Linked DNA regions of Oreochromis niloticus. The protein of the gene in region 2 interacts with the protein of the main gene of each other region in a pairwise test. Links are inferred from orthologs where the notes say so. Each region holds a gene or a part of one and is shown on either strand. Other genes may lie near its edges. The genes, in order: spred1, creb5b, efemp2a and fosl2.

Evidence for each region.
Region 1: the proteins of creb5b (region 2) and spred1 interact in binary tests that used the Homo sapiens proteins (3 or more experiments, as listed by UniProt). The link is inferred for Oreochromis niloticus from reciprocal best matches to the Homo sapiens genes CREB5 and SPRED1.
Region 3: the proteins of creb5b (region 2) and efemp2a interact in binary tests that used the Homo sapiens proteins (3 or more experiments, as listed by UniProt). The two-hybrid records come from large-scale screens. The link is inferred for Oreochromis niloticus from reciprocal best matches to the Homo sapiens genes CREB5 and EFEMP2.
Region 4: the proteins of creb5b (region 2) and fosl2 interact in binary tests that used the Homo sapiens proteins (3 or more experiments, as listed by UniProt). The two-hybrid records come from large-scale screens. The link is inferred for Oreochromis niloticus from reciprocal best matches to the Homo sapiens genes CREB5 and FOSL2.

Annotation. Positions count from the first base shown.
Region 1 is NC_031983.2:16,022,369-16,030,360, forward strand, and holds the start of spred1 (sprouty-related, EVH1 domain-containing protein 1), read right to left. Parts: upstream 3,119-7,992; 5' UTR 2,093-3,118; coding exon 2,061-2,092; intron 1-2,060. UniProt on the Homo sapiens protein: Tyrosine kinase substrate that inhibits growth-factor-mediated activation of MAP kinase. Negatively regulates hematopoiesis of bone marrow.
Region 2 is NC_031976.2:18,511,206-18,518,191, forward strand, and holds the start of creb5b (cyclic AMP-responsive element-binding protein 5), read right to left. Parts: upstream 3,069-6,986; 5' UTR 2,983-3,068; coding exon 2,953-2,982; intron 2,879-2,952; exon of another isoform or gene 2,783-2,878; intron 1-2,782. UniProt on the Homo sapiens protein: Binds to the cAMP response element and activates transcription.
Region 3 is NC_031966.2:20,257,652-20,265,601, forward strand, and holds the start of efemp2a (EGF-containing fibulin-like extracellular matrix protein 2a), read right to left. Parts: upstream 3,005-7,950; 5' UTR 2,804-3,004; intron 1-2,803. UniProt on the Homo sapiens protein: Plays a crucial role in elastic fiber formation in tissue, and in the formation of ultrastructural connections between elastic laminae and smooth muscle cells in the aorta, therefore participates in terminal differentiation and maturation of smooth muscle cell (SMC) and in the mechanical properties and wall integrity maintenance of the aorta.
Region 4 is NC_031983.2:23,201,897-23,209,735, reverse strand, and holds the start of fosl2 (fos-related antigen 2), read left to right. Parts: upstream 1-4,825; 5' UTR 4,826-5,504; coding exon 5,505-5,633; intron 5,634-7,839.

The DNA.
Region 1 (7,992 bases), on a different chromosome or scaffold from region 2:
ATCCTTAGTTACATTTGTGAATAATCCTACACTTGTTCTACATATGAGAAAAAAGGCAGTTTGATTAAGGATTCAGAGGCTCAAAGACCAACGTTTAATTTATCAGTGGAAAGTGGCTCAATTTCACAATGTAATATGGTGAAGACTACTATTGGGGGGGGGGGGGGGGGGGGGAATGATTATCCTTGACTCTTAAAAAATGTGGCACACCAAATCTTTTTTTTTTTAATTTAGTCAATAGATGTCTCATGAAAAATATTTCATTAAACAGACGCTTTTCAGCAAAAATAAATGGCTCAGGCAGCGCTCAGTATTCCGTTCACTCCATTACTATGAATCATACAAGAGGAAAGGTGGTGAAATCTTAGCAACAATGTTTGGATCACTTCGCCATTTTAGCTGCTGCCATCATGCTGTGTGGAACTGAGGATTTTTATTTTTTAGCCTGTGGCAGTAGTTCTCAAAAATTGGGGATCTGGGGTGTGGATGAGTTCCCGAGATTATTGAAGGGAGTCGCATCAAATTTAGGAGATGAGGAGGTTTCACCAATTCACACAATTCAAGCTGAATCAAGGTTTATAGCAAATATAGCCTGGGATGAATTCATATGTGAGCTCCTGTGCTTTGACATGAGGAAAAATAAATAAATCCATGACATATGTTACATAAAAACAAAACAGTGTAGTTCAAGGACAAAACCTCCATGCATTAAATCAATCAGCCTCACAAAGGCCAGAAAGATTGAATGGGGGAAACAAAACAACAACAACAACAACAACAAAAAAAAACATGGGTGTGTTTCAGACATTAAACAGTGACACTGTAAATGGCTGAAAAGGGCATATGACTTCCTCTGTGACAAATGAATTGTGAAAGAAAAATCACGTCGACATGGTTAAGAAAAAACATGTAAAATAAACGACTAGAAAAACGAGCACAGGCGCCTATATGCGACGTATTGTACCGCGAATGCAGAATATGTGATCACTGTGTGACCGTCGGTGCAATGCGAAACAGTGTACAGTGCTGTGAATGGGCAGGCAGGTACTTTATGAATGGAGGGGATCATGTGACCGCAGCACCTCCCGAAGCAGATATTTCTCACTGACTGTCAACAAGCGCACACAAGGGATCAGCCCATTAAAACAATACCAAAATGCGAGCTGAAATGGGCGCGACGTGTACAAAAACACAGCATGCACAGATCATAATCGATGTCCGTAGGTTGTGAGGCTCTGGGCGTGAATGCGATGCCGTTTTTTAAGCGTTTTTATGAATGGAGGATTGTGATATGTAAATGAGCATGATTGAGAAAAAAAAATGGCATCTTCGGCTTTTCAATGCCGACATTGCCGCATTAACCGCGAAGAGCCTTCATTAAAGAAAGGCTAGACTTAAAGACAAACACAATCCGCAATATTTTAATCGATGATTATGTTCCGAAATCATGGCGGACAGCAGTTAGACACAGATCGGGGCTGTCAATGCAGAGGACTCTGATCGTGATGTACCGAGCAAGCACTCACATAAAATTATATTTAGATTACTGTCACCTATGCGTCTGCTCCGAACGATCCTTCGTGAATTAATACATTTCCCGAACATATAATAATACACCAAGCAAGCAAAATAAGCAAAGATTAGTACACCTCAAATGTTGTGGCTTTAATGTGAATTCTCACAGCATATACTGGTTAGCAGTATCATAAGCCTACAAAAAAGTAGCAACGAGATTAATATTTTACTACGGATCGATGCCACCGTTTCCCCGGCACGGTTCTGTTTAATCTCACAAGGCAATCCTTTCTATTAGCTTGATAAACAAACAAACAGGGGGGGAAAGTACAACGTGTTTCTTATTGTTGATATTAGTAAAACAAGACGATGAAATGGCAACGTTGCTCGGTTAGAAATGTCACCGGGAACTAACGTAGCTCGATGCTCGGTGTGTTAATATCTACATATATAAGCACATATTGAAGATTAGCTGTGTGTTTGGATGTAAATGATAAAATAATAATAATAATATTAAAATAAAGTGTGTGTAAAACAGGACTCACTCGTTGTTTGGATTTGTTGAATCTTCACTCATTTTTTTCCTCACGGGGATCCAAATCCTAGCAATAGCATCGACGACGCAGTGACGGCGGGATAAAATACCACATATATCACCATTTTCCTTCACATACAGAAATAACCCCTATTTCGGATAGTAAATAAACGGCGTACAAGGGGCATGCCTAACTCAGCGTCCCTATGAAAAGCAAGTGAAGCTAGCTGGACGTTAGCTTTTGCTGGCTGGGCTCTAACGTTAAATCGCGAGGAGGAATGACAATCGTTGATTCATTTTATCCTCCCTGGAAGTAAAATCCGACCACAACAAATGGGCCATCTGGACCATCCTCTTCAACTGACACAAATCCCCGGCTTGCAAAAATGTGCATAGATCCTCAAAAAATGTAGAAACCGTTGTAGGTTGTATCGTTTGGCAGGTTATTTATGGCTGGCTGTCGAGCATCCATTCGCCAACTTCAGGTCCAGGACAACACTTGAAAAAGAGCTGTGCAGCGTTGCTCCGTCAACGTGTCCGAGTAATTTTCAGTAAAGGCATCCAATGCCCCCCAAAATGGTCCGACTGTTTTCAGTATTAGCACCGACAGTTAAAGTAAAAACACATAGACTTGAAATTTCCTTGAGAACTTGATGGACATCTGCTTTAATCGAACTCCATTTTCAACTCGGGGGGGAATGAAACATCGGAAAAATGGGCGGATATGTCGACCCTCGCTTGAAAAAAGGATCCTTCCGCGACGTAGTAAAAACATAACACTTGTGATAGAAAAAATACCAACCCAGCACACACTTTGCTCTGTATGCTTAAAGAGTAGCGTATATTATACTAAACCGCGTTCCCCCGTAAGCGTATGCAATAAGTTAGTAAGATTTCTTTCTAAAGTTGACCTAAAGTAGTCCCCCCACTTCCCAAAAGAAGTTTCCCTTCAATCACGCATTGAAACAAGAGGGAAGCGTCTGTGTGATAGCACGCAAAGTAGGCTAGAAAATAATCTAGAGGAAGGACCTGAGCTGACACGGAGACTTGGTCATTAACAATTTCTGGTATATTCTTTTTTCAGTTGTATTATCGTGATCTACCTCCCCTCCGAACCGCTTTTAAAATCCTAATGCAAAATAGTGGGGAAGTGCTGCAAATGTACACAACCGAGAGTGCTGCAGCACGTGGAATTATATCAGACCCTCTTCACGATTTATGTGTTTCAAATCAAGATGGTATTTCTATCGCTGAGCGTAGGCCAGGGTTATTTATTATTCAGTGATAGCAGAGTGAAAAGTGAAAGACTGTAAAGCGGCAATTCAGAAAATGAGGATTTTTTTTTTCTCTGGAATGTAGAAACAAAAATCTGAGTAGGGCATGGTGTGGGATTTTTGAGAACTGTAATTGGCCGTAAATGTAAATAAAATACAGGCATTAGGATTACACTATAAGCTACAAAAAGGGGTGATCACTAGAGAGTAGGGGACTAAAACAACTGCATGTGGCTCAAAGTCGTGCTTCTAAAACTGTACCAGGCAGCTAAAGCTCCCTCCAGAATAAAACAGTCTAAGAAGTTGCCAGAAAAATCCATGTGTGCTTCTATGAATCTTAGTTGCAAATGTGTTAAAAGCCTTTCAGAGCAAATCGGCAGCCTGGTTGCATAAGACTTAAATGCTATTGGATTTCTGTGCTGTGTGGAAAAGGCAAGAGATCAGGCTAAATGATTCTGCCTGGTTGTCATAGTGACAACATGTTGTGTGAGAAGTTTCTTTGTATTTCTCTGGCTTTCATACAGCTTGTGCTACAGTATTATGCTGAGGGCCATATGAAACGTCCCTCTGTGTCACTGTACATACACTACCAGTCAAAAGTTTGGACGCACCTTCTCATTTAATGGTTTTTCTTTATTTTCATGACTGTTTACTTTGTAGATTCTCACTGAAGACATCCAGACTATGAATGAACGCATATGGAATTATGTAGTAAACCAAAAAAATTGAAATAACTCAAATTTTGTTTTAGATTTGTCAAAATAGCCACCCTTTGCTTTGATTACTGCTTTGGACAATCTTGGCATTCTTTTGATGAGCTACATGAGGTCGTCACCTGAAATGGTTTTCCAACAGTCTTGAAGGAGTTCCCAGAGATGCTGAGTATTTGTTGGCCCTTTTGCGTTCATTCTGCGGTCCATCCCACTGCAGGATGCTGTGGTAGCCGTGCTGGTTCAGTATGCCTTCATTTTGAATAAATCCCGATCACACCTCCTCCTCCATGCTTCACGGTGGGAACCATGCATGTAGAGATCATCCGTTCACCTTTTCTGCGTCACACAAAGGCACGGCAGGTAGAACCAAAGATCTCAAATTTGGACTTATCAGCCCAAAGCACAGATTTCCACTGGTCTAATGTCCATTCCTTGTGTTTCTTGGCCCAAACAAATCTCTTCTGCTCGTTGCTTTTCCTTAGTAGTGGTTTTTTAGCAGCTATTTGACCATTAAGGCCTGATTTGCGCAGTCTCCTCTGAACATGTCTGTGAAGGTTCTCAGTCATCCAGGTCATCGTAGTCAAAGGAGTTTGCAAAGAAAAGCGTCTGGACTTCTTTAAGTTGCTTGAAGACGTTTCACCTCTCATCCAAGAAGCTTCTTCAGTTCTAAGGTCAAATGGCCGAGAGTCCCAGATTTAAACCCAGTGGGAGAATGGGTTTAACTGTTCCTCTGAACAGTTGATGTAAAGATGTGTCTGCTACTGGAACTCCGTGTGGCATTTATCTGGGCTCTAATCAGAGGTACTGTTAATTGGCAATTTCTGAGGCTGGTGACTCGAATGAATTTATCCTCAGCAGCAGTGGTGACACTCGGGCTTCCTTTCCTGGGGCGGTCCTCATGTGAGCCAGTTTTGTCATAGCAATGGTTTTTGCGACTGCACTTGGGGGACAAATTTAAAGTTTTTGCAATTTTCCGGACTATCGTTTCTCTTCACTTAGCTGATTGGTTTAAAAGGCCTAAAAGTCATTGGACTAGCTGACAAAAATTTAAATATCCATCCATTCATCTACTTTCTTCTGCTTATCCAATTTGGGAGCGTGTAATATTTGACAAGGCTAACACCAGAGAGACAGTTAAGTATTCATGTTCACATGAATAGTTAACTATGTCTAATTTAGATTTACCCGTTAATCTAATCCATGTATCTCATTGAACTGTGGGAAGAAGTAAAGAGAACCTGGGATACAAGGATTGTTTTTAATACTTGAATTGAAATCCTGTAGAATTAGACTGTAGAACCCACGGACATCAAATCCTGTGTTTCTTCCCTTGAGATGTTCTGCCAGGCTTTTAATGCAGCCACCTTCAGTTTTGTCTTCAGTAACTAAAATTATGCCCTATTGGGCTGAGATCAGGTGACTGACTTGGCCACTAAGGAATATCCCATTTCTTTGCCTGGAAAGACTGCTTTTGCAGCATGTTTTGGGTCATTATCTATTTATACCATGAAATACCGCCTGATCAGAGTATACCCCTATACACTTCAGAGTTCTTCCTTCTACTTCTTTCAGCAGTCATATCGTCAATAAACACTACTAATCAGATTCAGTGAGCAGCCATACATGTCCATGGTATAACATTGCCTCCGCCATGTTTGATAGATGACGTGACAAACTTCATGAGCTATTTCATTTTTTCACCATCATTCTGGCAGAAGTTAATTTTGGTTGCATCAGAGCTGGGCAGTCTTGTTTAAACGTTTTCTATCAAAGTCTAATTTGGCTGTGCTGTTCTTGAGTGTAACCAACAAGTGGTTTGCACCTTGTTATAAACCTACTTACATCCATGAAGACTCCTTTTGATTTTAGACTATGTGGCACATTCTTGAGGTTGCTTAACTTTTGTAGATGTTTTGAAGAGGTTTCTCTTAACCTAGAAATGAATTCTGTGATCTTCCAGGTCTATTGGCCAATGTATTCTTTTACATATTGTTCCAATTATCAATCTGATTACTCCCAACGTTTTTGCTATCTCTCCAGTTGGTTTATTTTGTCGTTTTTACGCCTTGTGTTGGCCTCATTCACTTGCATGGGCATGTCTTTGAACCTCATATAAAATGTCATGTGAAAAGCTATGAAATTCTAGTTCAAAATTCGGAATCAACTCTTTTATCTGCCTAATTTGTGGAATAGGCTTCTCTTTGTCACGAAACTGCTTGTCAGTCAATTGTCCAGTGAGCCTCTGAAAATGAAGGATTTTATGTATAAAAATGACCATGAATCCAAAACAGACTGCCTGAGAGCAAAAGCTCTCTTGGGATTGTTTTCTCAAAAAAATAATGATTTCAAGCTGACATGAATGTTTATACAAGCAGTCTGTATTATAAACGGGGTAATCAGGTTAGGATACTGCATCTTTGTTTTATTTAACATGGCCTCTTCACTTATTTCTGATTAAGTTACCATGATCAGGTCCAAACGAAGTGTCCCTTGATTCAAAAAGAGCAGAAAAGAACAATGAACATGATTTATTTTTCCTACTAGCATGCCTTTATCCTTTAGAGTATTTAGAGTTCAGGAAGTCAGCCTTCTTTCTCATCTCACAAATGTGGATGACCCTAGTCCATTTCCTGTGTTTTTCACACTGAACATACCACACAACGTAGCATATTTAAACCAGCCAACAGGAAGTTTAGCTGATAGAAGCATCCCTCCTTGACTTTATTCACTAAATGCAATCAAACTCATCACAATATTCTTCAAGGGAGATATAACATTCCTGCATTGCCAACAAGGAACCACCGAATGGATGATATTTTTAGCCCGATACAATCCTCATTCATCAGATCTAAGCTGATGAGTGAAATGATTTAAAATACCGCAGTCTGATGTGACTGGCGTTAAGTCATGTTCCTTTATTTTTCAGTGACTCTGCAGCATGAATCTTTATTTACTTGAAGCGTCTGATGTATCTTGTAATGTGAAAAGAATGTGATAATTCGATGTAAGCAAAAATTATAAAATTACCAGACAAACTTGTTTCCATTGTGTATTTATTATTTTCGTGTTTGCACAAAAAATCCGAATCTAAACTTCAGTAGATAAACAAACTTGCTCATGAAATGAAAGAGATTTTCTCTCCTTGAATGCCTTTATTTAAAATACAGCATCAGAAAGCATTTGGACAGCAAAATGTGATCAACTGCACCTAGGATCACATGGGAACCTGTGATTCTGTACCATCCATCCGGTTCACAGTGAGCCCATCTGACACTGGGCGAGTGATTGGACATTTCCTGGACAAGTTGTTAATCCTTCACAGGGCAAAAGTAGATAGACACATAGACATTCATGCTCACATTTGCACCTATATAGCTAATTTTGGAATGGCCACTTAACCTAATCCTGAAAACACTACAAAAAAGGGCTCCAGCAATACTAAGCACTGCACCACTGGGCATGGGAGATTCATCTATAGCAGGCATTTCCAACTCCAGGCCTAAGGGCCGGTGTCCTGCAGGTTTAAGGTGTGTCCTTGATCGAACACAGCTGATTTAAATGGCTAAATGACCTCCTCAACATGTCTTGAAGTTCTCCAGAGGCCCGGTAATGAACTAATCATTTGATTCAGGTGTGTTGATCCAGGGTGATATTTAAAACCTGCAGGACATCGGGCCTTGAGGCCTGGAGGCCTGGAGTTGGAAACCACTGATCTATAGTTTCTGGCCTGGCCAAGGCAGAGAATCAGATGTGTATCCCCAAACATTTTGCTCTGATCATCTTAGAAGCACAGCAGCTTCTGGAAATGGAGAACTATAACTGTGTAGCCATTCAGTCTGCAGTAAACTCAGGGCAACGAATGACCCATGTTGGCTGATGGTTTGGTGAATGAGTAATCTATTATTCATCCCTTTGTTTGTTATACTGATGTATATATATAAATATATGTATGTAT
Region 2 (6,986 bases):
TGTCCTCTCAGTACAAGTAAAACATCTGCAGTATTTACAACACTGATACTGGACCACATCATTTTCATTTAATGGCACATAAAACATTTCCTTTTATCGCTTGCATTATTATCACCTCTGCCTGCTACCAGTTCACAAGAACCGCAGCGCATCTGTAATTCTGTAATAAGCCTGTAATAAGTCAGTACGGCATGTCAAGTGTCAGCCATGAATACTTTCATACGCTATGTGCATGTGTGTCTCTTTCATAGGTACAGGCTATTTCCTTAAGCGCAGTCAAAACAGTCAAATATTGTGTTATGCTAAGCAGTCCTGTTTTCCTAACAAGTTGTACTTCATGAGCAAGCCCGCTTGAACAGGGTCTGGAAAGGGTCTCTCTGTCAGGGAGCAATGAGACCTGGTCTGTCTTTCTATCACCAGTTCAGTTCTTTAAAACAGGGCCCCTAAAAACTCACCTGGTCTCTTTTGACACAACAAACACAACCAACACTGCTGATCATTAAATAAAACTAAGCTCGAGATGACAAAAACAGTGCCTGTAGAAATGGCGCTACTCATTCGTGTATTAAATAAAGGCCCATTTCTTTTTTATCGGAAATGTTCATGAAACAGCATGAATCAGCTGTTTGCACAACTCTTGTTGGAACTGTTGTTTACTAGCTCTCCTCTTGATTGCCAGTATGAATTTGAAACAGTTCTTGAAACATAAAAACTTTAAAGCAAGCCATTAAAAAAAAAATAAGAGAAAAATTGTTTCCATAACTGTAAAAAACAGAAACGTTTACCTTCCTGTTCCTGTTTCTAAAACGGGACTCGATCATTCCCTCACATTTACTAGGAAATTCAAACCATATGATGCATAAAACTTCCAGCCATTAATTCTGCGAATGCCTCTGTGAATTATCCAATAGCTTTCACACTTCAAATTATCAGCATTCAACGCCCTTTCCTTGGACAGGGCACTTGGCTCTCATTTAATATAGATGTTTTCGTTTAGCAGAGGAAATTTGGTTACACTTTACATTAACTGTATCCTGATGTAAGTGAGGGGAAGGATTAGGGTCCGGCATTCGATTTCAAGAGGAACTTGGGAAGAACTCTGCAGGTAGACCGCATATTAGAATTTAAACAATATGGTGAGGAAAAGAAGGGTTGGGGTGCAAAGGCATATGGGGTTAAAGCAAGCACAAACATGCACAGCAATTCAAATCTGCAGCTCCAGTGCCATAGCCTGGGCTTTTGAGAGTACAAGTTGAAGGAAGGATTACGGCGATCCCTGAGGCAACGTACGGGGGACCTCTCTGACAATGTCTGCACTGAACTTCTGCTCTTAAACTCAATGCATGACTAGAAGACTGGTCTGACTGAAATATAAACTTCAAAAGCTTTCAATTACTGGTCTCTGACTCAACATAAACTCATAAATCAAAAAATGAATGCTCTGAGGTCTAGCATGGGATTAGCACTGCTCACATTATTCTAACTGTATTATTCTTAGCGTTCACTTTGCAGAACTTTGCAGGTAAAGGCGAAAAGAAAGCTCTAGTATTAAAATAAAATGCTCTAACGTCTGTGGTGTACTTGTTGATCAGACCTGAGACTGCCTTTATGCTTCCTACCTTTTCACACCTTCTATATTAGTACAGACATTACCAGGGGTACCTCAAGCACATAAAACAATCATCACGAAATGCAGCTCACAGTTTACTGCTGCAATCCAACTTAACATGTAAAAAACATATATCCATGAAGGTTAGTAAATAACACTATTATAGAATAAACAAGTGAGTTTAAATGCATTAACTATAGCTTATGCTACTTGGTCTAAGTTTATGTAAATCCTAATAATTATTATGAACTATTTTTGGATTATGTATTTTTGCTTTAAAAATGCTTTTTTTGTCCAGCAAGTTAACTTTTCTCAATCTGATACATATTTTTTAAAGAGAAAAATTATTGTAAAAGCTTTCATACAAAGAAACTCCATCCCAGTCTATATTAAATGCTGAAAAAACGTCGCAACAGACATAAATAACACTTTAACCGGCGTTATTACCACACCGAATAAAAACTCGGGCACAATAAGTGGAATCGTGTACGAGAAACATGTGTTATTGATAGTGCTGTCACATAAACATAATGACAGCGGCCGGAGAGCAATCAAATAATTAAAGCATCTTTCTCTTTTTTTAAAAAGCCGTTCCGTCACAAAGCGCGCACCGTCAGCACAACCTTACTCAAAGTAACCCTCAACATCTTAGCGCTTAATCAAATATCGACTGGCCTGCAGAATGACGTAATCTTGATGAACATTGCTGTTCAAGAGAAAAAGGGGGACATAAATTTAACGTAAACAGGGGTATTAGTGCCCCCCCTTTTTTTTTTTTGTAAACTGGGGTAACAGCATAACCACCGGCCCATTATCTTCCAGACAGTCATTGGTGAACCGCAGCACGCACGAGTCCCGGAGATTAGCCTGCTCTGCGTATCCCTGGATGGGACAGGCATGACAATGATGCAGAGGTCCAGCTTCGGAGATTTAGAGCTAAATGAAAACTTAGAAGACGTGCCAAATTGGTGTGAAGTGCAACGAAAAGCGTCTGTTGCATTAAAAATGTTCGCGTTTTTCCGTCATTTCAGATAATTTTCTGCAGACTTGCCTCCGCTGCTACCTGACAGACCGAGCTGCAGCGGCACTTGACTCCGCGAGACAGGCCAAACACACGGAGCGCGAAGTGACATGACAATGCACTCACTCAAACAAAACTTGGACGACACAAACCTGCGGAGACGAAGGAGTTTTGGACGAGGAGGTGAAAAAAAATGAACCAAAATCACATCTTTAGAAAGACTGCTGAAGCGAACGAGAAAACAAGCTGTTGCATGAAAAAGGGAGAAGAACAAGTGAGAAGAATCGCTTTTTAAAAAAATAAAAATAAAAAGATAACAAACCTGCAGAGGCGCGTGCACGGTCCTCTGCATGGTGGCAAGGCTTTCAACTTACCAAACAAGTGCAGAAAATGTGAAGCAGTCTCTCAGAAGAAACCACGTTGGACTGAGAAAAGATTACAATACGATCTATTTAGAGAAGCATAACGTCACCCTGGGTGACGTCACGTGGGATTCCTGAACTTCTAAATCATTGTGGTCCGCTGGTAGGTGGAGCCAGCGGGGCGGAGTTTGCAAATGCACGCCCCGGGGCATGTATGAACGCCGCTGGCCCTTGGTGGGTGTGGTCCAAAGCTGGAGCGCCAGTACAGAGCAATGAGCGCAAATAAACGTGCGGTGCTGCAGCTTCTATCTGACAACAGCGAGAGCGATAAACGGGAAAACCCACTAAACAGTACCACGCGTGAAATATAATCAAGACCCTGCAAACTTTATCCAACAAAATCGAAACTTTATAATAAGAAGCTTCTGCCTTACAAGTAAATAAAAATAATTCTAATATTTGCTGATTCTAGGCTCCATATCTTTATTCTTGGACTCAGTAGCTTTGAACATTAGCCACAGCCTCTCAGCAAATCCACTGCTGAACCAAGCTGTTTTAGCTCCTCTACCAAAAGCCACACTTCTTTTACACCAGCTTTATATTGATTGACTCCCCCTTGCAAACAGAAGGTTTGAACATCAGGCTAGATGACTGGGATGACTTTATTAGGGCTGTTTCCTCTCACAGGAGCTTTGATAATTGTAATATTATATATTTATGTACATGAGAGAAAATAAGGAAACACAGTAAATGTCCCCCTTAAAAAGGAACCAAGCAGAAACTGACCTTTACAATGTACCTTGTGTATGCTTGTGTAACATGATGAGTGAAGTGTTTTTCATGCAAGAATACAAATGTTCTCAGACTAGCAGTGCTCGAATTTGCTAATTCAAAAATTCAAGTAGAATTTGGGAAAACTCTATGTAGAAAACTAAAGTAATTATGAAACTTGGAATCTCTTCAAAATAAATTATAATAAACATACATGACCAAGTCTAATGATTCCAGAAACAGGAAAGTTCCTTTTTGCCAGAATTACGATTCAGCCTCGGTGACAATCTGCATACTGTATTACTCCGTGATGTTACTGTCAGGGCCTTAGAAACTTGTTTTCGTTAAACTGGTTTCATATTTTGCTTATGTTTCACAGTGAGGCTATAACCTGGCAGGACTCAATGTATCATCAACAGCTTGACTGGCAAATGAACTGAATGTGCAAAACACAGAGCGTTGCCTGTTGCCTTTTCTAGAGTGTGCCTTAGCTACAGCACATAGAAGAGATTTAAACAGCTCTGAAGTACAAAGCATTTATGTTGGAGCTCTGCACGACCTGCTGGTGCCAACTGGCTGTGATTTCTTGGGCCACAGACACTGGTAGTGAAGCCATCCTCGGTTCCAGGGATTAATGACTCCTCACACATTGAGAAATGTTTACCACTCGCCACTCCACTAGACACACTAAGAGCTCTGTCACTGAAACAATAACGCAGTCTGAAAAGCCCTCATAACTCAGAGCCTCTCTGCCTCTGTCTTTTAACCAGAGCTTTAATCAACATTTATGACATCCTTTTGTCTCTTTATTGCCAATATATTTCCCAACCAATCCAAACATTATGCTCCCAGAGGAGCAGACTATTAAGGCTGGAAAGAGCCGATACAGTTTGGGTCAGTGACCCACACTAAAGTGGACTTGATCTATATTATACTAAACCTTTTATTATTATGCCTTTGTGCAATGCTTCTAGCTAAGATCACCTTGGGAAGATAAGGACCAGTGATGATGCTTTGTTGTAGCAGGTGCAAAAGGTGAAGGAGGCTAATAACGAAAGCGTCTCATAGGTTTTCAATTTTAACAAAATATAAAGCACTTTAATGAATATTCCACTTTGCAAAGCAGTCAGCTATAGGAAATAGATGTCCACATTAATGCTGCTCTTCATACCTTAAACAGAGATGACTACACCCAAAGAGATATTAGTATAAAGCTCTTAGTAACTGTGCAACAACAGAAATATAAGATATTTAGTTATCTGTTATCGCTCATATAAGCAAATACTTCTCCAAAATTTGGGGTAGAAAAAGCAAAAATAGAAAAAAGAAATGTAAAACTAATAAATGATTGTGGGTCTTTGTCAACTGGTGTTTTTCTTGTTTTCACGCACTACTGGTGCATCTTCATCTTACATTTTGGTTTAAAAACAACTTCTAAAACTCTGATTTTAACCAACAATATATCAAAGCAGACACTTTGGGGAATTCTGCACTTTAGTTTGTAGATGAGATCATCCGTAGTTGCGTGTTTGTTTTAAAATCCCTACGTTTCAATCAGAGGCTTCACCATCTAGCTCTTATCACATATTTGAGACCAAGCAAGCCATGACTGTTGTAGCAGAGGGAAAGATGTAAGATAAGACCTAAGCAGCCAAGTAAACCTTACTCACATCCGAAAGAAGATAGTCTGGGCTTTTGGCTAATGCAGGGCTGCCTGATAACTCCAACAGCAGTAGTTATATTGACAGATTCAAACTTTCTTCAGAAAATGTTCAATTTTTTTTTAATTATTTAACAGAATAAATTGTTATATAGTCTGAATGTCAAAAATAAATAAATAATGTAGAGTTACTTATCTGTCTGATTTGAAAACATAATCATATCTTTACAAAGCCAGGAGAATATACCAGCCTAGCTGACTATAAATATTGAAAGATTTTTCTTCTGAACTGGTGGGAATGTCGTTCCAAGTGTTTGCTGTTCAGTGGTTAAAGATCAGGAACTACTGTGTGGTGAGGGAAACCTCAGGACATACTGAATATCACAGTGTTGACACTCTGTCAATGTCAAGGTCTGTGGGTTGTAAAGGAAAAAAAGTGCATATATTTGTGTGATTTGAAAAATGAGAATGTTCAGTAATTATAGTTCACTGCATTGCAAAACAACAATGCAGTAATAAAAATTCAATACTGGGTTGTGGGGATGTTTTGAAATTAAACTCCAAAATAAGGATAGAAAACCCTTTACTCTACAGGCAATTGTTTAACCAGTAAATTTACTTTTGTCCACTGCAACATCTGAGTTACTCATACATCTTATAAATTTCAGCATTCAGATTAAATATTGAAATACTGAAATGAATAGTCAGCTAGCTGGTGGTTTGAAACTGTCAAGACTCAGTAATTTCTGTCCTGGTATGCAAACTATCTCTGCTGAGCTTTCTAATGGCCCTGGGAGTCTCGGCCAGCAAAACATATACTCTGGAGGGTCCTCAGTAGATAACCTCAGTGGCTTTTTCTCGCTCAAACACTTGACCCTATAATATTTACATTAGGTGGACGATAAATGGTGGTGCCTGAGTGAAACCTATGGAGATTTGTAATGGTGTAGGATGATCTTTTTGCACAGCACTTGTGAGAAGGTTTATCGGTCTAATGATTAATGAACTTGGCTTCTGTGTTACTTAAAGGGGATTATTAATAACATTTTTAACAATAACATTTTTTAAATGTTATATGGCGAGGCTAACAATAACACTATCATAACACCTTTAGATTACATTACAACACTGCATGGATAATATTTTGTGAGTGGTATTTCCATTGTGTTAGTCATTCCTATATGATTTATATTGGCCTGCAGGACCCGCTGTCCTATTACAAATCACTTAAATAAACACACTGATGATTTGAGTTAGAAATAAAGTCCCTAGGGAGGTGCTTTCACTTTCAGCTGTTTGAAATAAGTTTCCACTCCATGCAAAAATGAAGCCAGAAGGACTGAGGTGCCCTTTCTTTACTGTAGTGTGTAGGAGTGAGGAAATTATCTTATTGGTTGGCTCAAACTTGCTGGGCAGTTCCCTGAGAACAGAAGGGTTTGGTCACTTACGAGCAGCTGTTAAACGTGACTTTGCCTGCATGTGTTTCCACAGTGAGGTTGAACAGTCTATTCAGTACATCCTAAGCCCAAAGAATCCCAAACATATCTATTACCTCATCTCTAA
Region 3 (7,950 bases), on a different chromosome or scaffold from region 2:
ATTTTATCTGCCTGGATTATTGTAGAAAAAATTATTCAAAACGCTACTAATCAAGTTTACAATATATTATGAAAATACAAGGGTCTTTGTGGCCACTATTTAAGACATCTTTGAAGTCTTAGTACCGAGTGCACAGGAAAGAAGGGGTCTTTTACCCATCCCAGAGGCCCTGTTAAAAACTAAATAAAGGAGGCAATATTTACAGTCAGGGACAAAAGGCAAAGGAGTCAGTGATCAGCTTAAAGTCCCATTTAAAAATACACTTTCAGGTGACAGTTTTCCCATTTTGCTTTTATTTTACCTTCCTTACACTTTCTCCTTTTTTTCATTTTATAGCTTAACGTTGACGGTTACTTTAGCACCTCTTGCAGGCTTTTCCTATAGTAGAATATTTTTTGACACTGCTATATTGCTATTTTTACTTTAATACAGTGTTCTGTACCATGTAGTGTATTTTTAAGGTAAATATATATTGCATGGTTCGGTATTGATGGATTGGGCCTCTCTGGCAGCAATGACACAACCATCCTTCAGTTAATGTTCCTGAAAGAAGCTATAAGTGTTTAAGCTGAGCCTAAACATAAACAAGTTGCCCGTTCCATCTCCGCCAGACCGAAAAGACAGGAAAATTAAACAGACAAATTGAAGTAATAAAAAAATCCTAAGCAAGTGTTGTTTGCAAAGTGAGTGAGCTCCAGTTAAAATACAGGGAGGAAGGTTATAATCACTGCCTGTCTACGTGCATACACTCACGCTCTGATATAAACTCCCGAGGCCACATTTGCAGGCATTGCTTATTGTTTTATTTCAGGCTGAGACAAACAGAAGGCCGCAGGGTGACTTGGACACCCTGAAATACTCGAGGAATGACATCACCGTGACCTTTGAGTGGTGAAAAGCAGCAAAATATGCTCTCACACTGTAAGCTCAGACGGTAGCGCATACCACCGCGCAATCAGACGGCCGCAGTGCGTGATCTCTCTGAATTGGCCCAACAGTGACTTACAACCAGCAAGAATTTGACCCGAAACCACCCAAAAACAAACTGACCATCAGCCTGGGGTCCAGTCACTCACTGGCTACTCAGTGTGGGCAGCAAGGATGCATGGGTGTTTCCCTCCTGCTGCTGGAGATCAAGTGGCGGCGGACCTCTGGAATGCCCGTGGCAAGGATGTGGGCACCAGTTCTCAGCTGGGATGCCCTGCCACTGCAGTGGTTCCCAGAGTATCAGGTTCTGGGAAACCCCCCACAGTTCACATAAGAGGACAGCTGGTGCCAGACCTCCGGCCACCTCTTCCCTAACCTCCCATCCCTTTGGAGGATGTGTAGGAGGATGTCAGAGAATGCGGCTCTGATACAGAACTTCATTGTCTGCGTTCGACCACCACTGACAGGGAAAATACACCATTTGAATAACTGATGAGTCAATCCATAGAAAATGAATCAGGAGGCATTTTCATGACTCGCTTTCCAGCAAAAATGTGAAAGCAACTACACAAATATGCAGTTTCCCCTGCTTTTTTCTGTCAATACGAAAGTAACCCAAATATTCAGCAGGATATGATTATTAGTGAGGCAAAATGAGACATCTGAAGACGTCATCTTGGACTCTGGGAACTTGTGGTGGGCTTCTCTTTTATACAAGTGTACCATTTACTACCCCACAAAAATAAAAAATACAAAAAAGTAAATCATCGATACTTTATGAAGGCGCAATCTTAGTTTCATTTGGAGCTTGGCTCAGCTTCAGGACTGCTGGTTGACCCATTTTTAAATTCACACATTCAGAACAGCTTAACAAGCAAAATGTCAGGCGGCTTATATCAGTGACCACATGGAAACCAAAAAAAGACCAACAGCTGGACCACACACACACACACACACACAGTTTAGACTCCAGGATGGTCACTTGTTGTAGTGTATACACAAAGTTTGCGTCGCTGTGCTCGGCTGTGCGTGGAGCAGCCTGAGAACACGGTGACCCAGCGCGCTCCACCAGCTGCGCTCTGTTACAGTTGTGGCAGTGAACCTGCAAATCCACAACCAGGGAGTCTCCATCTCACACTCGGCCTGACTTCTGTTCCGGGAAGCTCCACAGGTAAAGACAGAAATAACGCCCTGTAGGAGAAACTCACTCACAAGGTAAAACATGTTCCTCCTGAACTCTAACGTGTGATGCTTTTGTGTTAGAGTTCAGAAAACTTTGACATGCTTGCTTTTTTCTAATCCCCACCTTAAAGTGGAAACATCTGCTTTTACCTGCAGGAAATTGATTGCACAAAAAGTGAAACAGCAGTTGTGCACTGTGAGGTCATCCAGGTTTAGAGAACTCTTCTACATGTTGGCACCTGTTTGTGTTTCAGATTTTGAGCTTCCCCCACCTAGAGACTAAACTGAGCTTGTGACACTGACGTTAAACGTTGTACAAGAGGGATGAGGCGGAAGGATTTTGCAATATTACAGTACGATAATATGTGCCCTGTGACTCACTGCCTCTCTTCCTGTCTAACCCCATATTACAGTCAGAGCCAAGAAGTAAACTACTCAGACAGAGTTAGCCACGTTATCTTGGCTCTCATAAGGAGCCAAGTGCAGCTGGGAGAGCAGAGCAGAGAGCAGGGCAGTGGTGCAAGTGTGACGTGTATGGCCTGTACTAGAAAAAGTGGGTAAGAGGTACATCTCACCTCCCTTACTTCTCCCTAAAATGCTAGCAAAACATAGTAAGTCATCCAGCAAGTCTCTCTTTAACAAACAGACATTCTTAGATATGTGTAAGAGGCTAAAGAAACACAGGAAAACTCACAGAGGAATCTTCTGTCTCTCAGTCTCCGTCTGACCAGTGTGTCCTCCTGCTGGCTGCGGTCGTCCCAGCCGAGTTGGCGTACAGAAGTGGTCCCTTAAACTCCTGCCTGTATGACCCTGAGAGAGAGAGTGAGTGGGGAGACCGACAGCTGGAGCAGCTGAGCACATGGAAAGGGAGGGAGAGAGAGAGAGCGAGTGAGCAAGACAGGCAGAGGCAAGAGAGAGAGAGAGAGAAAGGGAGGAGAGAGGAACAGCCCCCTTACCCCCCTCTGGCCCCCTGCACTGCCATCCTCCACTCCCCAAACCCCCTCTCCCTGACCCCCCAGGATGCAAATTCCTGGTCTGCGGCCCAAATACCGAAATTCCAAATCCGTCCAAATCGCAGGCACAACTCACAGATTCACACACACACATGCCCCCACATCTTTTCACCCTCTCACTGGTCCCACAACACACCTGGTTTCATTTAAACCAAACCCCTGCAAAATCCCCAAGCTCTCCCACCCATTCTTCCCTCCCTTTTCCCATTTACCCCCCATCTATCTATACTTACCTCCCCCATCTCTCACTCCCCTTTTTTCTTTTCCATAAAGCCACTAAAGCCTTCGCTCTCGTCCAATCTGACATGCAGGGATATTTATAGCCAGAGAGAGAGAAGTTAATGGAATGCGGACAAAAATTAGAGAGTGGAAGAGAGCGACAGACTGTGTGTGTGTGTGTGTGTACGTGTTTGGAAAATTTTTATTTTACAGAATGAACCAGCGGTGCTTTCTGGGACAAAGGACAGAAAATAAAGAAGTATCATAAGTCTTGACCCACGCAGCAACTCTTGCTCTTCTCGTGTTTGTGCGTGACTAATGCGTTACTGCGCTTGGAATCATTTCCAGCAGCATGTTGTCTTGCAAAATTTGTAGTCTGTGATGATGCAAACGGGTTAAGATGTTGCTTAACTCACATTAATACTCATTAGTTTCAGGCTCATTCAAATCTAATGGGCACAAATTCAGACTATCCTCAAAATGGGATCAACAGCAGCGGCAGCGCTAGTCTTAATTTTCCTTAAAAATATCTCATCACTTGCAGAATAGCTCCCTGCATTTTATTTTTAGACGGGAGGCGGTTTCTCCAGCTACCCTCCAGTGTTTGGTTTAAAACCCTTCACTCGGCCTCAGCTTATTTGTCTGCCTTTTGTTTTTGTCGGGTGGCAGAGATGGCAGCTGTCACTACAGGGGATGTTGTTAAAAATCACACTCCCAGCTGGACTAACTGTGCCCCCACCCCTCACCCAGTTGGTCCCTTATTCCCATAACCACACACAGAGACACCCCACACACTGACTGGAGTCACAGCCTGTCGTGCATGTGATCCGCTGGTCCTCTTTAAGAGAATTAGTGAAAAAAAAGCTAATTCAATTGGAGTCAATATCAACTACAATATCAAATCCGCTGTTTTCACTTCTGAAGTATGGTTCACCCAACCCCCAACCCCCGGCAAAAGATCCTGATTCGGGGGTTAATCACAACATCTCTTCCTTCCAGAATAAACATGAAACATTGCATAGAAATGAAACAGAAGGGCATTTTTAATGTAAAATCTTCATTTTATTTACAAACCAAATTTACAGACAATGTTGGGGGACGCTAGGAGCAAGGCAGGCAGACAAACATACAGCGATGACAGAAGAAGCAGAGAAAGCACATCCGAAGGAGCAAAGTAACGCCTTAGCAAACTGAAAGGAGAAGTGAACCGCTAAGAGAACGCTTCAGTCGTGATACATTTTGAAGATGCAGCTTTTGACGACGCCCATGTATCTGTCCCACACGACCTGATGTCTGAGGGCAGAGAAGAGAAAGAAAAGGAGAGCAAACGGTAAGTAAACGGAGTGAAAAGAGGTGCTCTAAATTTCATGTCAGACTGTAATTGTGAAATCAGAGTGAAGAGAGTAAATGAGGCAATCTCTGTCCCCTCTGTGTATACGGCTGGGGGGGTGGGGGGTCTATGTTTCTTTTTATGAATATGTCTTTGTTAAGCTTGTAGTGGTTCAGGGCTGTGTAAACCCTTAACTACATTCCTGAGTGTTTGCACGAGAAACAAGGTAACTACAGTTTAAGAAGTCATGAGCAAGATAGGGAGACACCCACTGGCAGAACAAGGACGTCAATTTTTGGGAGGGTTTTAACATACAGCTTCACGCTTCAGCAGTGTTTAACACCACCATGTGTATCCTTATTCGGTTATTTTGAAGTTTTCCCCAAAAGCTCTCTATGAAAAATCACAGCTGTATTTTTAGCACAAGGATACCCCGCGGGGGAATTGATAACCCTGGCAGGGCCGGTGCCGGGCTCTGACTGATAAGCTTCGGAGAATAAAAGCACATTAACTCACTTGAATGTGTCGAGTATGTGTGCAGAGTTGGTGTAATGAGTGAGGTAGAGTTTCATGTCCGCAGCTGTCCACCGGTCTGAACGGCACGGCTCAATAAACTGTGGGATAAAAGGAGGTGAGAAGGTTACAGCATAAAGCCTCAAAGGCAGACTGATGCTGAGAGAGACATTAAAGTATTTGGGCTTGGTGAGCAGTCTTTACTTATATATTTATATTTTTAAGAAAATCTCACCTTCTCTACGAGATCAATAAAGAAATCTCTGACATCTTTTGTGTTGGTCAGCTTTGCAGCTATGTTGATGAGGCCTCTGGAAAGATTCTGCAGAAACAAAATTACATTCGAAACTGTTATTTCCTTTTCACAGTTATTCTCACGGAATTTCATGAAGATACTTAGCATCTCTCACCTTGAAACTAGTCTCCATCTCAGGGAAAACTTTCGTCTTTCCTCTGAGGGCTGTACAGACCAAACTGAGCAGAAACAAGAGAAGAAAGAAAAAGAAAACAGATCAAATTATTTTTAGAAGGTTTTTCAGGAGTAAGCAAAACGTGGAAGTGTCTTGAAGCGTGTTCCTGTTACCTTTTGTGTTGATCGAGCAGATCTTTGTCAGTGATTAAAATCTTCAGCTCTTTCAGTTCTTGTAAAAACTCTTTGTCAAGATCGACGTCCATGTCTTCCACCATGTTGTCTACAGGAAAATTCAGACACTGTTCAAGTTAGTTTAATGGGAATTTCTTCTAGAAATTATATTGTAAATATTTGTGTTCTTATAACTGCTTGGTTATTAAGTATAATGACTCAGATGCTACCTAATATTATTCCCTTTTTCACTCTCCTAATTGTTAACCTGTGAATTTAAAATTCATCCTCTTACTGATGAAGTAAAGCCTGAAGGACCTCTGGTGGTCAGTAAACCTCACTGACAGCGCCACTGGTCTAAAATTTATTTATTAAACACAATCAACATATAGTTACCAGCCACTTTGTTAAGGTACACCTTGCTAATAGCAGGTTTGACCAGCTTTTTACCTTCAGAACTGCCTTAATTCTTCATAGGGTCAATAAAGTGCTGAAAACATTCCTCAGGTTTGACATGACAGCATCACACAGTTGCTGTAGATTTGTTGCTAGTGAGAAGATGGGTACAATATCTTCATAAAGGGATGGACATGGTCAGCAATAGTACTCAGGTATGCTGTGGTATTTAAACAATGCTGAGCTGGCGCTAAGGGGCCCAAAAAGTACCAAGAAAATGTTTCAACACCATCACACAACCACTACTAGCCAGAACCATTTATGCAAGGCAGGAGGGATCTATGCTGGCTTTACCTCAGAACATCACAACAGCAGACGAGACTCATCAGACCAGGAAACATTTTTCCAATATTCTATTGTTCAATTTTGTTGAGCCTGTGTGAATTGGAGCCTCAGTTTCTTAGCTAAAGGGAGAGGTACCCAGTGTGGTCTTCAGCTGCTGTAGCCCATCTCCTTCAAGGTTTGATACTATGTGTGTTCAGAGATACTTTGGTTCTAATGAAGTGGTTATTTGAGTTACTGTTGAAGCAGTCTGGCCATTCTCCTCTGACCTCTGAAGGTATTTTCACCTCAAGGACTACTGCCCACTGGATATTTTCTTTTTTTAGGACAACTCTTTATGAACCATAGAGATGGTTGTCATGGAAAATCCCAGTAGATCAGCAGTTTGTGATATAATCAGACTAACCAACATTCGCGCCACGTTCAAAATCACTTTTTGTCCCTTCTCCTCCCCATTCTGATGCTCAGTTTGAACCTCAGCAGGATGTCTTAATCACATCCATGTACCATGTACATGATGTACCTCGCCAAGTGACTGTCCAATTAGATATTTGCCTTAACAAGCAACTGAACAGCTGTACCTAACAATGTGGCCTGGTGAGTATAGACAGCATCCATTCTGTTCTCAAAAGTAAACGTTCTTTTGAGAACTTTTAAAATTCCTCTTTTATAGTTTTTTGTTCACCACTAATGTTTTACCAATTTGTAAAAAACACAAAGACAAATTAAGACATATCTTATCATATCTTATATCAGCAAAATGGCCAAAGGAAACAAAACTAAGCACTCACCAACAGCCCCAACTGTCCAGTTGCTGATAAGCTGGCCGGCACAGAAAGCAAAATCCTGGAAACTGAGGTATTGTAGCTTTCTTTTTCCCGTCTCAAACCGATTGTTGGCAAAGAAAACGATGGCAGCGTAATCCCTGTGATGAAGAAAATAAACACACGGCATTTAAAAAAACCAAAATAAAACCAAGCAATCAGAGCACCCAACCTTTTTATGTGGTATTTCGTTAGAATTTGTTGCAAAATAACATATTAATCCATCACAACACTACAACATAACAGATTTTAAATTATACAACAGCTGTAAAACATAAACCTGAGGCAGAAGGCTTGTGCTGTGTGCCCGTTGCCGATTACCTTGCAAGTTTGTCAGACAGAAGAAAATGCTGACGTATGTTCTCCACCAGGGGTCCCTTCAGCTCTTCCACAACTTTGAAAACACGTTTGAAGTTGTCGAACTGAAATTACACACACAACGCAAGAGATTTACTAATACTGAAAGAATCTGCTCCACAATCAGAAATCCCACCACAAGTAATAAAATGTACCCAGAGCTATAAAACCAAATTAATTGTTGAAACCGGCAGACAACAGGAGCTCCGGCATGGTTTGTTGTTTGTTTCAACACTCAGCTGTATCCTACCATTCAATAACACC
Region 4 (7,839 bases), on a different chromosome or scaffold from region 2:
TCTTATATTTAACTCAATATGTCAACCTCCTAAAACACAGGCTGTCACTTTTCTCCTAGTTTATAATGAAGGGTTTGCTGCTTTATTTTGATATCAGAACTGACAAAACCACATCCTCAGATTGTGAGTAAAGCTCCAATCTTGTGTAAAATAAGTAGCTCTTTTTGAGATTCTCTGTGCAGTGTTTTGAGCCATGTCTGTCCAATGCAGTCCATCAAAGTCAGTCTCAGGTGTTCCTGAATGATTGTCATAAGTATTTAATTAATTGTTTTGCTAAATGGGATCTGGCATTAAGGCTGAAACTACACCAAAGCAGGCCAGTTGTCTGAGTGGATTAGAATTCAGTCCATATGGATGTGGCTAGGGTGAAGATGTTGTCGAGCAGCTGCTGAGCTTTTTGCATACCTGAATGATGTGAGTGGCCTTATTGGAGAGTATGTGGCCAATGAATTCATCTTCTTCTCTCTGCAATCCCACACTCCGGAGGTCAAGAACGTTCAAATTATCCCTCTGCGCTGCTGTGTTTGACTGCTTTACATGAGTCACCACAGCAACCAGTAAATGAAATCACTGAAGGATGCTTGCTTCAATTCACAGGAGCTGTCTGCCCGTCTGGCATCCAGCCTCCTCTTTTTAAAGCCATGTTCCTGCACACTGGGCTTCCTGATGAAACCGCTGATTAGATTTCCATTGAAAACCTCCAACTTGCACAAAACACTGTGACAAAGGGAGCACATGTTTGCCACAGCATTGTCAGTGCATGCGCAAGGAGGGTATCGGCTCCCTGCTAGATTTTGCTCGGCTAACTCTAAAAATGCAATGAACTCGGTGTTGCTGTTGTTGCGTAATCAAACAGCATGTGAAGTGTGTTAACAGGCCACTAGCACAGTCCCACTGTCGGTCACTCTGATTGTTCTTTAACTCACTCTCTGTGCTCACAGTCAGCACTTTGTTACCTACGTGTGTCCTACTGGCTGCACCTGAGCTGTGAGATTAGCCACACTGATCATGTTGAGCTATTATCCAGGTTAAGGTATTACAACATGACAACATGACAGGCGACTGACGGCAAAGGAAAAGGAAAACAAAGTGATGCAAGGGCAAAAAAAAAAAAAAAGTGAAGGAAATATGTAGTGAATTCTGAACAGTCTCCTCCTCTCTAGAACACTCAGCTGTTTTCCAGAGAATTATGTAGCAATGAAGTGACTCAGTGTGACTGTAAATGCACTTTTCAGGAGGTTTGTATGTCATTTAACCTTCAAGTCACCCAGTTGTATATTTTTACACGTCCTGTTATGAATTTATGAAGTGGAGAAATGTTTCTTACCATAAATTGGTCATTTTACAAACAGAAGGACGTGTGTGTGTGTGTGTGTGTGTGTGTGTGTGTGTGTGTGTGTATATATATATATGTATCTATATATATATATATATATATATATATATATATATATATATATATATATATCCATCTATCTATCTATCTCATATATATAGTATATATATATATAATTAATGTATAAATATATACACATACATTAATGCAGTCTATCTTTCAAGCTCAGGTCCTCCAGCAGAGAGAGGCCTGGGAGCTTGAGGGTCCTGCGCAGTATCTTTGCTGTTCCTAGGACTGTGCTGTTCCTAGTGAGTGTCAGTACCACAATCCAGGATGTGACAACAAACATCCACGAGTACATCAGAAAGATGGCCGCGTGCTCAGTGACTACCTCGGGCAGCGGAAACCCAAGAAAGGGAGCAAGAGAAGGAACCATCATGGAAGGACAAGCCCCTGCATGAGACCCTCGTTCTTGGGATATATACTATATTTCTGTGACTAAAATATATTCATGTATGATGTATTACTATACATAAAGCCTATAGACCAAGCTTTCAGCAGTATTCAAGCCATTAAAATAATCTCTATCTGTACCATAAAAATATACACAATAATGATATACACATTATGATACTGTATGAATACTATTCCTATTTAAAAAAACTCAACAATAAATCAAATAAATAAAAAACAGTATATAAACTGTGGTGCAGCCACTTATCATGCAATACATCTCTATGAGGGGGACTGCAAATGAGCCAGAAAATTATACCAAATGAAATGTTTTTTACACCCTCAGTATTTATTTATAATCAGATGTTCTAACTTCTGGTTCTATGTGACCCCCCAAAAATGTTTCTTCTTCTTGGATATCTTGGAAATGTCCCTGGGTGTGGGAAATTGGAAAATCAAAGCATTCAGTACTTGTCATGGTTGAAGAACAACAAGAAACTGACTCCAGGGTGTATCTTATTTTAGGGTAATAAATTGTTTGTGGCACTGACAGCAGGAACACTCAAACAGCAGTACAATGAAAATCACACAGCAAACTTGCTGCAAAGATTTCTATACAGAACAGAACTGCAAAAATTTTTACAACGTAAAAACACCACTTTATTTTAGAGCTGAAAGTACAGCATTGTAATTTAACAACGATTATTTTACAGCACACTTAACGAAAAAAAAAGTACTCTGCTGGATCATTTGACAGCAATGATCGAAATTAATAGGACGTCTTGTCATGGATTTGTTATTATTACTACGATCATGCTTGCGAAACACTTCCAGTAATCTTGGGGATTCTGATGTTATGATGACCTGCAATATAATCCATAACATGCCCTATATCTAAGATCTTGTTGTGCAAAATAATGTGGTTGGGGAAAAAGGAGTCAAAAGTAGCTTTAAAGTACTCATAATGTGCTACACAACAGAAAAAGTGAAAATCAAAAAACAACCCAACATCAAAGGGCTGTGATCCTACAAACGGAAAACGCTGTGTGACTGATGTCTATGATGCATGATTAGATGATCATTTCCTACTATAGGCCATGTTAGGTGTTTTCATGAAATGGGTTTTGTTGTTAAGTTGTAATAACTAAATAGGTTAGCTCTTATTAATATATTCTGTTTGTACCCCCCCAACCTGGATTGACTGCCCTTTGTTTACAATCTCCTCATTCGGATTTATGCGGCGGTACCTGAAGGCAGCATTAGGCATCAACTCTCCTGCGTCACGAGCACCTGAAGCGCGTCGGCCGCGGCCAGGTAAGCCTCTTGCGCACGGACGTTCAGTGGACCTCTTGCGTGGACGTCAGGCTGAATGAGATGTTCTGTATAACACAGATTCCTTCTGATGTGTGATGGATAGATAAGCTGACCTCATTGCGCACATTGACCAAACACCCTCTTGTGTCACCTGACCCCTGACCTTGGGCTCCTTGAAGCTGCAGTTTTTCAGAAATCCGAGAATTTGCGATTAAACTCCAAGAAACTGAAGACAAACTGGAGCAGCAGCGTCTGGCTGACTGACTGTTGCGTGTCCCAGGATCCTCAAAGATCAAACTTGGAACCATATAGAAGTTGTCACAGTGCCACATCGTGCTTCTCCCAAATTGACGCCCATGGGTGCGTCTGAAATGATATTACGGCATTAATTATGGGATGGCAGATTAGATTACCCCCCCCCCTTTAGCTATTTAGCAGAAAACGCGTCGCTTAGCAACACCGCTGCGTTCAAAAGATTAACCATTAATTAATATCATTCAGATACAGAATTACTCAACATCTTCGGGAAACTGAAACGCACGACAGGCAGGGCGTCATAGATCAGTGCGCAGGTCAAAAGGTAATGGGGCGAAAATGAATGACACCCAGTAACTCTGGAAAGGGTGACATATCGGAGAGCTGCAGTACCTACAAGTGTAACTGACGTCTTCACGTTATGAGCAAGCGAACAAAGTGAGGCAACGAGCGGCTGGCTGGTCACCCCAGAAACCCCCCGCAGATTATTTTCCCCTCAGCGCAACTTCCCCCGGTTCAAACTTTCTGACGGGAGCGAGGCTTTCTGGCAAAGACGCGCGCGGCACCAGCAGTTATGGTGATGCAGATTAAAATAGGAACCGTGGCAGATGGGATTAGACTTAATGCGCCATTTTATATCGTGTAACGTGTCACATTCTGGGCGCTGCGCCCTTGTTTATGAGGTGCGTCCGAATTACAATTAGCCCACATTTCACCGAGATTCCTTTGAAGCCGCCGTGCTGCACTAACCGGCGGGCCACATTAATCTGACCGTCCGTGTTGTGTGCCACCTCTCTCCAAATTAGGCACAATGCGGCGGCGCCAAAGCGCACAAAGGTTTAATTGTGCAGAAACGCCGCGTGTCCAATCGCCGAGTGTGTTTATGAGCAGCAAATGAAAACTGGTGGACATGAAATAGTTACACCCACCATGACACCCCCTCCTCTCTGTCTTTATTTGATTTATCGAATTTTCAGGCTGTGCACAGCTACAGATATGGATTTCATTTTGAAGCTGAAAAACTTTCAATAAATGATTTTACTGCGCAGCACTCGCTCCCGGTGTGTGCGGGTGCACGCGTGTCCGTGCAAGTCGCTTTAGCTTTAAGTTTCTAAGCTTTAATGTGTCGGTTTTCCATCACTGCTGGGTGGCCGAACCTGGACCGGCGAGCTCTGAGCTCCGAGTCCGGACCACAGCGCGCGAGGGGAGGGAATCCCTCCAGTGTCTGACGCTTCCTTTACCAAGGAAACCCACACGCGCTCGCTGACGCAACTGCCCATTTTAGGAAACATGCGTCAATGGACCCAAGCAAGTCAGACAAATAGTGAACTCCGCGGCAGCACTGACGTCCGTAACAAAAAATAAACCCCTCCACACATGTTCTGGACCACTTTTACCAAATCCCAGCTTTTCGGTTTTCTCCCTGCTGTCCGCAGGGCGCAGGATGGTGATAACGGATCTTTTCTTTTTCACTGCCTTTTGGAGAGACAACCCCTCCCTGCTGAAGTCGCAACGCCCATGCGTGACGTAGGCTCTTTCGTTGGTGTTGAAAAGCCGTTGCAGTTCTTCATAGTGCCATTGAAGTGAGTCATCTCTAGGAAGTGTGGTAAAAAGGAAAAGAAAAAAAAAGTTCGAAGTGTTCCGTGAGCAGCAGAGAGAGCTCAGAGGAGTGTAGCTGGCAAGGCGACGGAAAATATTGAGAAGAGTAGAGAGGCAATAGGCTTTAAAGCGAATGTTAACCTGTGTGAGTCACTCTAACTACATGTTTGATTGTCGCTGCTGGATCTGACTGCTGAAGGTGTGCTGCTGACTTTAAGCTGAAGTTTGCGCACCTGAGAGGATCTTTAGCAGCGTAGTGTAGGTTTACCTGCGGCTCCAGGAAAAAAAAACAAAACAAGAAATAGACTCTACAAGCAGGAATAATACACAAGAAAAAAAACGATTTGTATTATAAGTAAAATGTTTTAGGTTAGTTTACAGGAGCAAAATTGCACTTTTGTTTTTTTCTCCTTCTTTGGAAATTAACGACTTCTCGAATCAGAGGATTTTTTTTTTCCTGTTGGTGCCTTTTTTGCATCGGGGATTTAAAAAAAAAAAGGCTCTCAGAGCTCAAACAGTGCACTGAAATCTTCCTCTTTCCTGGATCATGTACCAGGACTACTCCGGGAACTACGACACCTCGTCCCGCGGCAGCAGCACCTCTCCGGCCCAGCCAGAGTCCTTCACAAGCGGCAGCAGCACGATCGGAAGTCCGATCTCTACCTCAAGCTACCAGGTAACAGAAGGAAAGGACTGGCTGCAGATTAATCTATTAATGAATGCATTCTGGATAACATGAAAGTGTCAGTTCGTTCTTGTGCAAAGTCCAATTTTTAGAAAATTATTCCATCGTGTTGCTACTTCCAGCCATTAACTGAATTTAAACAGGAATTTTCCGGGTCGCCTGGAGACACAAATCCGAATGAACCCAGTGACACGGTTCGTATCAGTGACTCAACAGGGGCAGTAGTCAATCTGTGCATAGGCGCAGTCTGATAATATTACAATAATTTTGCTTTTGAAATATTTAGACACTGATTATTTTATCTAATGTTAAATTTCTCCATTAGTGCGCACCGCAGCTGGCGACAATGCGCAAGTTTGCGTAAATTTATGGTACAATTGTCTTATCCCAACAATTTAAAAAAAAAAAAAAAAAAAAAAAAAAAAAGACATACAGGGTGGTTTGTGCACTGTTGCAGGGAAATTTGGCACACTGGAATGAATCCGAGTCTGTGATTTACAGATGTTAAATTCCCCTTTCTTTCTGCCAAATTCACTGTGCGTTTGTAAAACAGGAACATTTCTGGGGTTTTTGCCAATTTTCTCACAGAGACGAATGCGTGTAAAGCAAATGCACACCTGAGCTTTTTACACTTTTCATGCTGCGGTAATGATAAACTAGCTAGAGATGAAGCTCATGGTGGATGCAACAGGCATTTCGTGTTGGGCTGTGAGATGTCTGATTTCAATATTCCATATGTGTTGCTGCAGAATTTGACCCAAGTTCCGTTTAAGTGTCCACATGTTTTTATTCCACATGGAATCAGAGTCTAATTCGACCAGGCGGGTCTCGGGCTGCACATGCCACATTTTCTCCAGCTGGAAGCGCGCTCTGACTGGGAGCGCAGGGCAATCAAAAGCCCGTTCTTCCTCGCTGTGTTCACGGTAGTAATTGTAGAGATACATCTAAAACACCAAAATCTCATAAGGTTACGCTTTTACATAGTCTGAGTGAGACTTTAGACACAGTTGAGGTGTGCCAGTGTAATGCCGTGAAGACGCGGTATCTCAAAAATACGAGGATATAAATCCGGGAACAGGCATGTTGTTTACCCCCACACCCTCTGCCGTGCAATTCTGTGGAAAAGCCTCCTCAGGCTCACGCAACATTACGGTAAAAGACTTTTGGACAGTGTGTATCATTGCTCTGGTTCCCTGTAATCACACGCTGGCTGCCTGTTTCCCATTACAGGGTTGGAACATGAACTCTTCGCTAGTTTATGGAGACATATGAAAACGACCCCCCTCCCCCCGCGTGTTTTTGCAAGACCAGTATCATTTTAATCAGACTTGTTTGGCTCTAATGTCATGATTCCACTGAATGTCCTTTGTAGGCAGTTATTCATTTCCTGGTTTATATGTATTGTAAATTCCAGTGCTCTTATTCTGAAGCCAATCTGGCCCAAAAATTCCACTCGCATAATTCTGGATAATATGTCTGGCTTGTTACAGCTGGCTGCTTCCCCCCTTACTGGAACTGACCGCGTTTCACATGTGCTCGACAAATGCAATACACAATGACTCACCAGATAAACAAAGTTGCAAGAGACTGCCGGGATATCCGACGGAAAGTCGGGAATAACGGGGATGTGGGGACGTGCGTAATTTACGCACACAGGCTGGCATTCCTCCTTTTTGATACCAGAAACAATGATCTAACATCACTTCTCATGTTGATGTGTTTGTACAAGACCTTGTTGCACAAATGTATATAGGCACGATATGTAAAATGTTTGTCTGTATGAGAGTCTGAACAAAAATCTACCATTCTGGAACACATTATATCTTGAGATGTTCTCACATCTCTTTTTTTTTTTTTCCACTATTCCCCCCCCCCCAATTGTATGTTTGTTTGTTTTTTTTTAAACAATCTTCTGTGAAATAAATTTAATAAAGTTTATTCCATTAAAAATATAATTTTACATTTCCCATCTGCCCCGTCAAATCAGAAGTGAACTTAAGAAGACGTGAAATGGCTCTCTAGTGCACTGTTATGTCTCATTGTAGTAAAAATGAGATGCAGTGGACACCTTGGGCTTTCCCACATGAATCACTGCATGTGTCACTGTTTCACTCCAGGGGTTACATACAGTGTTTCGCCTATGTGGACTGAATCACTACTATAAGCTTGAAATGTGGAAAAATGTGTGAATCTGATG